Saccharomyces cerevisiae S288C: one gene and its partners. The gene in region 2 interacts genetically with the main gene of each other region. Each region holds a gene or a part of one and is shown on either strand. Other genes may lie near its edges.

Region 1 (4,863 bases), on a different chromosome or scaffold from region 2:
GCGAAATCTCACAAAAAAATGGCAGTAGTTTACAGAATGCTGACAAAATCAATAATGGCAATGATAACGATAATGATAATGATGTCGTTCCATCTAAGGAAGGCTCTTTACTAAGGTGTTCGGAAATTTGGGATAGAATAACAACACATCCGAAATACTCAGATATTGATGTCGATGGTTTATGTTCCGAGCTAATGGCAAAGGCAAAATGTTCAGAAAGAGGGGTTGTCATCAATGCAGAAGACGTTCAATTAGCTTTGAATAAGCATATGAACTAAAGCGGGAACTTTATGGAAAACTGGGTAACCGAAAGAACTTTTTCTATAATGTTACAATTAAACTTTTTTAACTTACCTTGCTTCGCCTTTTCGCCGAAAGTAGGTAGATTGTATCACCTCGGTATTTTTTTATGTACACAACCTATACTTTAAATATATTTAGACTATGTATGAATTCTCTGTATCACCTTCAATGTCAATATAGAAACTGGTAAGTGCAATAGTACCAATAATGATTATAATTATAATACAAGTATATATATATATCTATATATAGTGGTAAAGTATTCTTTACATGATGGCACAACGCTGAGATTTATCCGTACCTGCAGAACCACTGTTTTTATGATTCTTAAACCTATTCATCTGGAATTTCCAACGCTTTCTATCCTTGTTAGTGGCATGAGTAGGGTTATCTATGCCGCTTAAAGACTTTAGTAATGTAGGTAAAGGCAAACTTTTGGACCTTTCCACGGCACTCATAGCATTGATGGAACTCTTTATCTTTTTCAACTCATTTTTGGAATTACTTTCATTGTTACCCTTGGAATTAGGTTTGTGAGAATTTTTTGTCTTCAAAGAATGGCTAAAATTCGAGGAAGTCGTATTAGAGTTCGACAGTTGTGTCATTGGATGAGGTTCACTTGATAAAACTGTACTTTCACCTGTTTTAGAGTTATCCAACTCGTTACTATTACTTTTATCGATTTTTGTAACAGAATTATGTCTATTGAATGCCCATTCCCCGATACTGTTTACGGTTCTAATAGAACGATGTGCTGTAGTAACGTTAGATTCCATTCTAGTTGGTATGTACATTTGTGGGCCTGACTGTTCTGATAAAGAAGCATCGTCACCATCGTCTTCATCGTCTTCATCGTCAATATAGTCGTTGTAACCGTTATTATATGCAGTCGGGAAATATTGTTGCGGGTCGTTAGTTAATGATAACTCAGAATCTAGAGGTTGCTCTTTTGATATTCCTTCCCTATTATCATAATTGGGATTTTTGAATTCTTCTTCAACCTGTTTGCCGGAGTTTGTCACAATAACCATTGTGTAAAATAAAATTTTTGGAAATGATCTCTTGATATCTAGCAAATCTTGAAGTGTTAGAATTTGTAAATTATTCATTGAAAAATTGGAATCATACAGCAACCAATCATCGGTAACGCTTGCCATTGTAGGTTTATTGTTTGACTGTCTAATCGCAGTAAAAATTTCTTTGGTGTCTGGATCCTGAATTAATATAGATTGCAAAACTAGCCTAAAATACCCTAGAGAATCACAAATTGAGATTGACGGTAGAATGGATAGTACTGAGTAATCGGAAGAAGAAAGATCTTCATCATCATAAACCTCTTCTCCATCGTCCTCTCCTGATCCATACCCTTGGGCGTCATAGTTATGATGAATTAAATTATCCTCCTCCTCTGGGGTTGTCGAAGTAGTTAAATTGTCTATAGAACTCGTTATACTTGACAATTCAGAGACATAGGTGGCATTCGTGTGATCGATGTTTTCACGTTTTGGATTACCTCGGCTGCTACTGCTTAAACTGTAGTGGGCACTACTACTATTACTGCTACTACTATAGCTAGTGTAGCTGACCGAACTTTCCATGCTATAACTTGCTTGATCGATACTCTCGTCACCTAGATCATGTGAGACTCTGCTATAATGATCCTCAACTTCATCCTGACCACTTTCATCCTCGCGCCTGGCAGTAGTTAAACTCAGGTCTTGTCCGGGATATGTGGATGATACGTCTTCGCCAGCAAAACTATCTATTGACATTATCTCGGAATGTGACGGTGTATAGTCTTCATTAGTGTATGATGGAAAAATTTTGGGTAGTCTATTAGGCTTTGAATCTACTGTTCGCGAATGAGAAAAATTTAGGACTATAGAACTTGTGGCATCCTCTTCATCAACTTCGTTTTCATTATCTTGAGGCGTATCATTATTATTGCTTTGACTATTCACGGATGTAACGTTTATATCAACTGTGTCCGGAGATGTCAAAGTCCTCGTATTCGTATTAGTTCGGGTAGCTGTTGAAGTCTGGGTATTTATATTTGACCACTGATCATCCGAAACGTTTGATTCTAGCTTCCCGTTTGAAGCTTTTGATGAAGATATTGTGGGTGGTGGTATTGAATTTCTATTGTTATTGTTTAAAGCCTTGGAATTTTTTTGAACTTGCCAACTTGTACTCGCAAATTCTAAAAAGGTAGGGTCTTGGAAATTGTTGAGGTTGTCCGTCAATAGGTAATGATTTTCATGATTGTAGCAGTGGGAGTGAGTTAATTTTGAGATTTGAATGTGTTCTAATTTTTCCAGATGAAAGTAATCTTTGAGGAAGATTTCCAATATGGAGATATCTTCATGAACATTCTCTGGGATGGAAACTAACAAAATCTTCTTGTTTGGCCTGGCCGAAATATTGTTATCACCATAAAAATGACTATTCAGAAATCTTTTTAACAGAGTGTATTTTAATTGATTGCCTATAAGTTCTTCAAAATCGCCTAATCTGAGGTTTGTTAAGTACCACGACCACAAACCATTGTCATCATTGTCAAAATAGTCGCCCACTCTAACGGATTTTTGCATTATATTTAAGTAACAGAGTGCTTTTTGATGGTTTTTGTTAACCGTCTTTCGAGCAGTTGAAGGATGAGAGTGAGTGTTAATGAGGGGTTATTTCTGCAAAACTTCTGCCGATATATTCTGCACTTAGTTCCCGCTGTTGTTCAGCCTTCACGTTCCTTAGCTACACAAGTCAGTTAAATCTGGTCCTGCCAAAGTGAATAAGTTGAAGATATTTATCTAGCTTGCGATGGAAAAAACTACAATAGGAAAAAAACTAATTAAAAAAAGAAAAAAAAAGAGAAGAATTCAATGTTTAGGGATATAAATTCGATATAAAGGTTTAAAGTAAATAAATTTCGTGTATTACTATGCAAGTAATGTTTCTGCCTGCACCGGCTTCGTAGCTGGTGGAGTGCGATAGCGATGATACTACCTGAAAACACAGAGGAAGGCCGTCAGCCCCGCGCTAGGAACGATGAGGAGAAACCAGTTGGCGAATCGCCACATGCCATTTACGTAAAAGATGCTGTGTAACCTAACAGAAATAATCGATGGTGTGAACTAAAGTCCTAGGATGCACATAAGCAAGCGAAAAAGTGAAAACAACATTTCCAGAGCTAAAAAAATGCATTTGCCGATCCGAAATAATCTCAAAACGAAAAAATGATTATGGACGTAAACAAAATTACCGCATTTCGCTCTCCTATTATCATAACAAGCATGAGCGCAAAACTTAAAAATCCATCAAGAGGCAAAAAATAACGACAACTGCAGGACTCGAACCTGCGCGGGCAAAGCCCAAAAGATTTCTAATCTTTCGCCTTAACCACTCGGCCAAGTTGCCATACTAACTTGATTATTTGTGTATTCTGTTTTCTTGTGATTCCTTCTGGTTACATAATTACATTGTCTATATTCATATTTGATTCTAACAGCAGGTAATATTGGTCTATCGGCTACTCGTTCAAAAAATTAAAATCGTTATCAATTATATTCCATAGTATAGGTTGTTAAAAGATGGAATTAATTAAAGTAGAGTAGTAGAACAGGGATCACAGTGTTATTAGATTTTGGAGCAACTGATGTGTGTGAGTAATATATAAGGATGAATCGAATGAAAGTATTATGAGAAAAGGAATCATCGTTGTGTAAAGTTGTTCATTTCGTATTTCTGGGTACTGTGAATGAGATGAACTTGCTGATAATCGTTGGCATACTATTATTTGGAACGGTAATATTTTTGCGAATACAAAGTATACTGTAGTTTTTCCCCGAGGATTTACGAACCCACGAGAAGTGATCAATATTTCTACACAGTAGCATTATGATCTCTCTTTATTCGCTTATGTGTCGCCATTCACTACCCTATCATAATTCGGATCCTTGTGTTTCAGCTCCCATTAAGTTTGACGACCGTTCGTCATTTATTTATATTCTTACACCGTACACGATAATATACTTATGCGAACTCTAGTCGGTCGATGGTGATTAATTTTCATTTCAATATTTACTTATATCGGCGATAAGTCTTAAGCATGGAATTTATAGTCATTCTGTCACCCCTCCGAAACAGAAATGAATTTGTAAATGTATTCACTAAGTTTAGCCGTTTTAGACATTTGAATGTCGTTCGTCATCAGCGCGGCCAATATTGTTTACATGAAGAAAATGTTGTTAATATAGGCACTCTATTTGGTTTCATTATGAGAAGTATCTTGCTGCTTGATGTCTTCGCACTTTTTTTTTCCAGATTTTTCAGGTGATGAGGTGGAGCTGGAGGATTTTACAATATTACTCAAATAATTTGTAGACAACGTTAGCGTGAATGAGTGACGAAACCATGCCTGTAGAATTTTTAGTTAGTGATAAAAGACTGTTGAAAACCATAAAAGTTAAACTGGAAACCAACGGCCTTTTTGTTACTCCTATCTATTCCGATAATGATAACAAAGTTATAAAATCTTCTATTGAGGATCTCAATCATCCATTG
Region 2 (3,978 bases):
ACCATAGTTTTCGTTTTTCTGGAACGGCTGGAAACAACTAGATATTGTTTCACCATTTTTTATAACTTCCACATAACTTACTAAGACCATATGCAAAATCAAGCAAAATGGAACGTTAGTCTACTGAATGTAACATAGTAAAATTATGGCATGGGGGGATGAGCATTCGCATAATCCCTTTTTTAAACATTTGTTAATTGTGTAGAAATATTTATACATACCATTAAAGCGTTTCATTTGGTAAAAATATAAAAGTCCAATGCTCTAACAGCTTAATAAATTGTCGCTTTTCACTCTGTTCTTCAAATTTAATAGCTGTTGCTCCAACTTAGTCAAGTGCTAGAAAATTCATAGAGGGGCTTTTTTTCATCATTATTGTGACCTCATTTTTTCTTTCTTCGATCGTTTGAGGCGAATATTACCCGGGCGCTTGGTGGTAATGCGTTGTTTTAAATATTATATATAATGAATGTGGTGGTAGAATATATAGTTTACTATTTTTAGATAATGCAAATGGGTGGGGTGAAGGCGATGAAAAGGTGGGGGGTCTATCAGAGAAACCTGCTGTCACACCAGCCCTTTACGACATATTGAATCTCTCTCGTAGGTGCGGAAGTCTTATTGGTGACTTTGCCTAAATTTAGTTTTCCGCATGGTTTGAGCATTGTGCCGCCATTGTTGAACCATGGCTTGACGTCTGAGTGTACGCGGACCAAAGAACTTTTCAAATCCGCCGTTGCATGTTCGCTTGCGGATTCACGGCCTTGCGAAGGTTCCGTATTGCTTGTCGTTGCAACAAAGTGCAAATTCCAGGGGGTAGAATCGCCAAAAAGATCATTTCTTGTTTCATGGACCATGTCAGACCATAATTTTTTCCTAGTAATTAGGGCAAGCTTAATATCGTTCGTAGAGACATTTGGCTCCTTTTTGATTTCCAAAGACCGAATTTCGGAATACGTTAGCTGCTTCAACAGATGGTCATCTACTTCGACTTCGGGTAAAATACTCTTCCTTTTACATGATGTTTCAATAGAGTATAACTTTAGGAAATTGGTATTCAAACTTTTTTGTCTTATTCTTTTATTGGGCAAGAGCTCGCTAGATGCAATCGAACCGTCGGTCTCGGGCGATGGTGATGCAGATGGCCATTGTTCTAATTCTACCAGGTCATTTTCGTAAATCATGTTTTCTGTAGTCGATTTGCTCCTACTCTTCCTTCTTGAAGTCTTGCCGCCTTTCTTGTCGATGATTTGGAAGTCCACAGAGGTCGGACGAAGTTTGGCATCGGACGACGCAGAAACCAGTGAAAGGGCAGAGGACGATCGCGGACGCCGTTCGTATACGGGAGGAAAGATATCGACTAAATCCTTAACCTCCCAGTCGTCGAACAAATCGAGATCATTTATGTTTATTATTTTCATTTTGGGCACGACCGGCTCAGCCAGTACCTCATCGCCAATCGCGGGGGTCTGCAAATCGACAGCGTCAGCAATATCATCTGTCAAGGGATGAAGTTTAGAGGAGCTCAATGAAGAACAGTCGCTTTGAGCTTCCTCGGAGAACTTCCTCTTTATGCTCTGTGTTAAGTGGCCCTCATGTATGGGGCATTCGCCCGATAACGTCTTGGCGGAATTTGTTTTCCTAACTTGCGACATGACCGAGCTTAAGGACGGGGTCATCAAAGATGAGCGATTTTCGTTCAGCAGTTCGGAATCGTCTCGAGCCTTCAGTATTCTAGTCCTCTTGAAGCTATTCCTCTTGGTTAGTGTTCTAGTACGTTCAGCGCTTCCTTGACCATCGAACTGCGGCTTAGTGGAGTGGAAATAAATCTCATCGCTCACCGTCCTATTACTTGTGGCGGTCTTGTTCATGCTGGCGCTGGCTAACTTGTTATTCTTCTTATTAGTAGCGGTAGCGTAAAATGACTTGGGATAAAATACCTTTGATGAGTCGCTCCATGAGTGCAATGCGCCATCATCACGTATGCTTTTGATGAGGCAATGTTCATGCACATGAGCATCGTGCATTAGTGTGTGATTTGTGTTCACGTCCAGCAGCATTCTATAATTATGTCTTGTTGAAAGTGTTCTGTATGTTCGTGTCTATCCAAAGAAACAAGTAATTGAGAAAACTAGCCATCAAATACTTGTGAAGAAGCGAGTTTCCATTCTCTGTTTCACTCGTTTGGCGTTCTCACCATCCCACTTTTATTTCATTGGCTTTTTTAACACAATAAGGCGCCTTCAGCACCTTTGCCGCGCATTAAGGATGGCCACTGACGAAAAACCGGATAAAAAAAGACGAAAAAATGCCGTCTGACCCTAGTCAGGAGCCGCCTCATACACCCTAATTATTTTGGCGCTAAGCCCTAAGCATCATTATTACCCGACATGAAGCGACAGAAGCCCTACGGATGTGCGGCTGGAAAAGAAAGTTTCATGAAGAACCAGTTGATATATATTTTACTATATACTTTTGCTGTGTATTTCTATATGAGGCTAGTTGGTTGGTGGGAACTGGAAGTGAAAGTTCTGTTCTTTAGGGTGCAGCGGTTGCTGTTGCTGTTGCTGTTGCTGTTGCTGCTGTGGTTGGATTGATGCTTGTGATGTTTGTGGTGCCTGTGGTGCTTGTGGTACAGTTTTGCTGCCAGTTTGCTGCGAGTATGTAATTATGGGGTGAGCGGCATTTACATTAGGTGCTGGATTGATGGCTGGATTTGTTTTTTCGTAAGCGGCGATACTAGGCGTTGTGCTACTTGACATGTTTGCAAATGCATTATTAAACACTGGAGGTGAGACAGACTCGGTTAGTTCCCTTTTCTTTGCAAGCTCTTCGAGCCTTTTCTTTTCTTCCTTCATTTTTTTTCTTCTTTCACGGTCTTCCTGTTGTTTTCTTTGTTTGGCCCTTATTATTTTCAATTCAGGCACAAAAATGTTGCGCAGCTCAAGTTCCAAGTCCCTGATGCACCAAGCGCAGATAAAAGTGGAGCATTCAGACAGCGGTTTGCGTTTATCAGTAGGTCTTGAAGACTTGGTGCTGGGTTCAAGTGTGGATTGGGGTCTGCGAGAAGACCTTCTATTGCCGTGCGAATTTCCCATTATGATGACGCCAAAATCACGTTGCGACAGCGTGTGCTGTGGGGATTTTGTGGTTGAAGATATAAGCTCTATAATTTTTGGAGGTTGGCATTCCCAATGCTGCCACCTGTAACAATGATCACAGCATATCAATGGGCGGTTATTGAAGAGGTCAGTCTCCGTGTCTTCGGTGATAATCATGGGCGCCAGCTCTGGTTCGCCCGGACATTGGAAAACAGAATCTTGGTTGTCGGGCTCTTGCTGCGGAGTAAAGATCCCGTAGTTGGCAAGCTCATCTAGCTCTTCCTTTGTTATGCAGAAGTCACTAGGCAATTCAGGGACGTCTCCCGTCTGTAGTGGCCCAACAGTTCCAGGAATTGGTGGTTCCACCGGGATTATACTAGATTGAAAGTTAGGGCCGTGATCAAGAACTCCGATATCGATTTCATTTAAGGGATTGTCCTCCTCCCTGCCCAAAGACGTTTCAAAAAACGGTGTACCAGAACCACTTCTATCTTTGAGCTCGTTACGCCTGGTCAATTTTTCATCTCTATAATCTTGATCGTACAATTGCCACAATTGGTTCCAAAGAAGATCTTTTATCTTTTTGATTTCCTTCGACACTAGCTTGTTTCTGTGCCTTATAAATTGTTCTCTTTCATCTAGTTTTTCAAACCACTCACTTTCCAAGTCTTTTTTCTTGTTTTCTTCCTCTTTCGCTACCAGTCTCGAAGATCTTTTCCTCCTTGTCATTAGCTCCGCAATTGCTCTCTCCTTTTCTCTGTTGGCCAAAAGTTTTGCCGAATATAGTCTATGTTCGGCATACACCGGTATTAAGTTAGTTATGAACTCATCTATGGCTTTCGAACTTTTATTCTCTGACCAGTATTCTAGCATGGAC
Region 3 (3,337 bases), on a different chromosome or scaffold from region 2:
ATGCTTGACAAAGACTTATTCTCATGCCTTTCGGTAATACCGGCTGTAGGGCTTCCTTCTTCCTTCTTCCTTCTTCTTATATCATTGAATGTTCCTGACATTTATGTGACTGTTCAAACTGTATGCCTCTGCGTTTCCTTATGTATATGTAAGTGTATGTGTAAATGGAAATGAGATGATAGTAAACCTCCTTAATGGAACAAACGTGATCTGGGATAAACAGGAAAAAAAAAAAACTTTGGCGGAAGTGTAGTGAAAGATCCAAGCCTGATAGACCACTGTCGTGCTTGGTTAAGTACAGAAATGCGGTGGAAGTACTGGTCTGCTTTGAGGAATAAGTTTCCAAATTCAGTCTTCTCTTTTTCTAGCCTTCCCATTACGTCAATGCTGACTGAATCTATCAATTGAATAAAAAACGCACATCATAAGCCTTTGTCGGCCCGTAACTTAGTTGCCTGCAGAGAACAAAGTACAGAAAAACTTCTTGCTCTGATTACCAGTTACAATAACGACTAACTAATATTTAAATAAAATGTACATCTATCTACTCTTTCAATCTTTCCGTCTTGTTATATATCGAAACCACGGTCTCTTAGTTGATGAACGGTCCAGATCCAAGTCGATGCCGCTTCGTCGACATTGTTAGAAACGTAGCTCGATTTAGATTCTTTACCCCCCGTGGTGAAGTACTTCCCGTTATCTTTTTCGACAGATAAATTCGGGTCCAATGCACACTTCAAAGAAGCTAGTGAACCTTGTTCGTTCGATACGCCGAAAAAGAACCCTACGACCTGGAACAACAGCCAAAAGAAAATACCGACGATGGGTAACCTTGTCCAATAACTGAATAAGTTTGTGTTCATCACCAGACCCGGATGAACGGAGAGACAAAGAACGTCAGGGTATTTGATGGCCAACATCTTCGTGCATTGGATTAGCGCGGTTTTACTCATCGCGTACCTAAACCATGTGAAAAGCATATTAGGTTTGTAATCCCACGTCTTGCTCAGTTTCCAGTACATGAACTCTAGATGATGGCCTATCGAGGACAGGGAAATGATCCTGCCACGACAATGGCGCAGTAAAGGCAATAATCTCATCGTGAAGATGAAGTGCGAAATGTAGTTAGTCTGCAATTGCACTTCAAATCCGTCCTTCGTCATTTCTAAGGGCACCGCCATAATCCCTGCATTGTTAACAAGCACGTCTATGTGGTCTTCCAGCTTGAGAATTTTAAGTGCCGCTCTCTCCACACATTTTAAGTCTGTCAAATCCAAATGGATATAGTGCAGTGACCCTAGACGCTGAATGCTTGGACCTGGGCCCGCGCCTGGGCTTGAACCGTCGTCATCTTCATGGCACCTCTTCTTTGCTTCTGCCAGTATCTCCTGGATTGCTTTCGAAATCTTGTGAGAGTTTCTCCCACAAATATAAACGACAAACCCATGCAAATACAAATGCAAGACAGTATACCACCCAATACCCGTATTTCCGCCTGTTACTACAGCAATCTTCCTCTCCACAGCCGGGTCGTAGTATGGCAATATTCGTGGGTCTAACATTCTGCCTTTGGCGTATGTCTCGTACTGCGGATGCCTCTAATACCAATCAGGCCTACAACCATTGTCTTCCCCGTTTCTACAAAGACAATAGTGTGTGTGCATTGTAAGTGATGCATCATGCACCATAATGATTTGTTTATATATACCCATGTACACTTGGGTCTCATTTCCTCAATTTTTTCATATCTTACCCGCATATCTTTTCTTTCAATGCCCTACTTCTATACTTCAGGGTTTTCCAAAAAAAAACAGTGATTAAGCAGGGCGGCATTTTCTTTATCTTGGGGCTTAGAAGACGCGAAAGACCTGTGGCTCAATACCTTTTTCGGAATATGTCAACAACACGAAACGCCAAAATTCTTGGCCCTGATTCAGGTACCGCGGGGGCCACGAATTTTGGCGTTCTGTGCAGGAATGACGTCTCTGCCGATTATGAAACTAAACAAGGTATGCTATCGGAGGTGGTCTGAGTTACTCGACAGATTTTTCTGACGAGAGTGAGTGTCGTTCGAGATATTTAAGCTCCAAAATATTTCCCTCACCTAGCTTACATTTTGGTTTATTCTTTCTTACCTCTACCTTTCTAAGTTTTTCTCTTCTGCTTCCTTTTCTTTTCACTTGGCATATTTTATCTATAAAAAAGTTTTGCAAGCGTTTAAGCAACTAGTTTAGCACAACATCCAACCAAGAGGTTTCTCGCGTATTTCTCTCATTTTTTTACCCATTTTACAAATTTTTTTTGCTATTTGAGCCATAGTACCCATTAATAGGTCTCGTCCATTCCCTTGTTTTTTTTTTATTGTTTCAATTACACTACATAATTAAAAATCACATCACTTTCACTCTCACCTTAGTCGTTCTTTATCAACCAAAAATAAAAAAATGCTTCAATCCGTTGTCTTTTTCGCTCTTTTAACCTTCGCAAGTTCTGTGTCAGCGATTTATTCAAACAATACTGTTTCTACAACTACCACTTTAGCGCCCAGCTACTCCTTGGTGCCCCAAGAGACTACCATATCGTACGCCGACGACACCACTACCTTTTTTGTCACCTCAACGGTCTACTCCACGAGCTGGTTCACCTCAACTTCAGCCACCATTACCAATGCGGCCTCCTCCTCCTTGTCCACCTCTTCGGCCTCTGGATCTGTAACCCCAGAATCCACCCATGAAATTACCTCCACCTCGACTATCACGTCCACTTTGCTGCTAACCCTTCATGACTCCACTACTTTGTCTCCATCATCTACTGCAGCAAGTGTCAGTGACGAAGATTCAAACAACAAAGATGCAAAGGTCAAGTCCTTTGAACAGGCTTCAACTTCCAATGGTTGCGTCCCAATCACAAAGTTTGTCACTGTCACCAATGAGCCCGTTACCCAGTACGTTACAGTCACCCCAAATACGACTACACAATACGTTACTGTCACCGGTGCACCTTCTGTTACCACTACCTCTCCAGGTAACGTACAATGGTACAACACCACTTCGATTACTAATTCGACCAGTTGGTGAATTATGAGTTCAAACGTGTCCTTTTAAGTTCTTTTTGTTTCTTTTTTGTATCTGTATTGACAATTTCACCTTCTGTAACTCTATCCTTCTGCTACCTAAATACATCAGTTTAAGTTCCAACTGGTATTTATTTTTCACTATCATTTTTCTCTCGTTTATATATATATACATGGACATTTGTTTGTTAATAGAAAAAAAAAAATAAAATAAAAAGACACTTCACCTAATTTGCTTTATTTTCTAAGTGCAGCTATAAATCA

What was found. Genes that interact genetically often act in the same process or in processes that back each other up.
Region 1: of GIS3 (region 2) and GIS4, extra expression of one rescues a mutant of the other (dosage rescue), as found in Saccharomyces cerevisiae (one study listed by BioGRID).
Region 3: mutations in GIS3 (region 2) and ENV9 together harm fitness more than expected from each alone (negative genetic interaction), as found in Saccharomyces cerevisiae (2 studies listed by BioGRID).

What each region holds. Positions count from the first base shown.
Region 1 is NC_001145.3:255,523-260,385, forward strand, and holds GIS4 (Gis4p), read right to left. Parts: upstream 2,895-4,863; coding exon 570-2,894; downstream 1-569. Other genes in the region: DNA-binding transcription factor YAP1, read left to right, coding at 1-278; TRM12 (tRNA(Phe) (4-demethylwyosine(37)-C(7)) aminocarboxypropyltransferase), read left to right, coding at 4,699-4,863.
Region 2 is NC_001144.5:327,179-331,156, forward strand, and holds GIS3 (Gis3p), read right to left. Parts: upstream 2,061-3,978; coding exon 552-2,060; downstream 1-551. Other genes in the region: NYV1 (Nyv1p), read right to left, coding at 1-80, 222-237; IOC2 (Ioc2p), read right to left, coding at 2,499-3,978.
Region 3 is NC_001147.6:795,232-798,568, forward strand, and holds ENV9 (Env9p), read right to left. Parts: upstream 1,563-3,337; coding exon 570-1,562; downstream 1-569. Other genes in the region: DGA1 (diacylglycerol O-acyltransferase), read right to left, coding at 1-101; SRL1 (Srl1p), read left to right, coding at 2,445-3,077.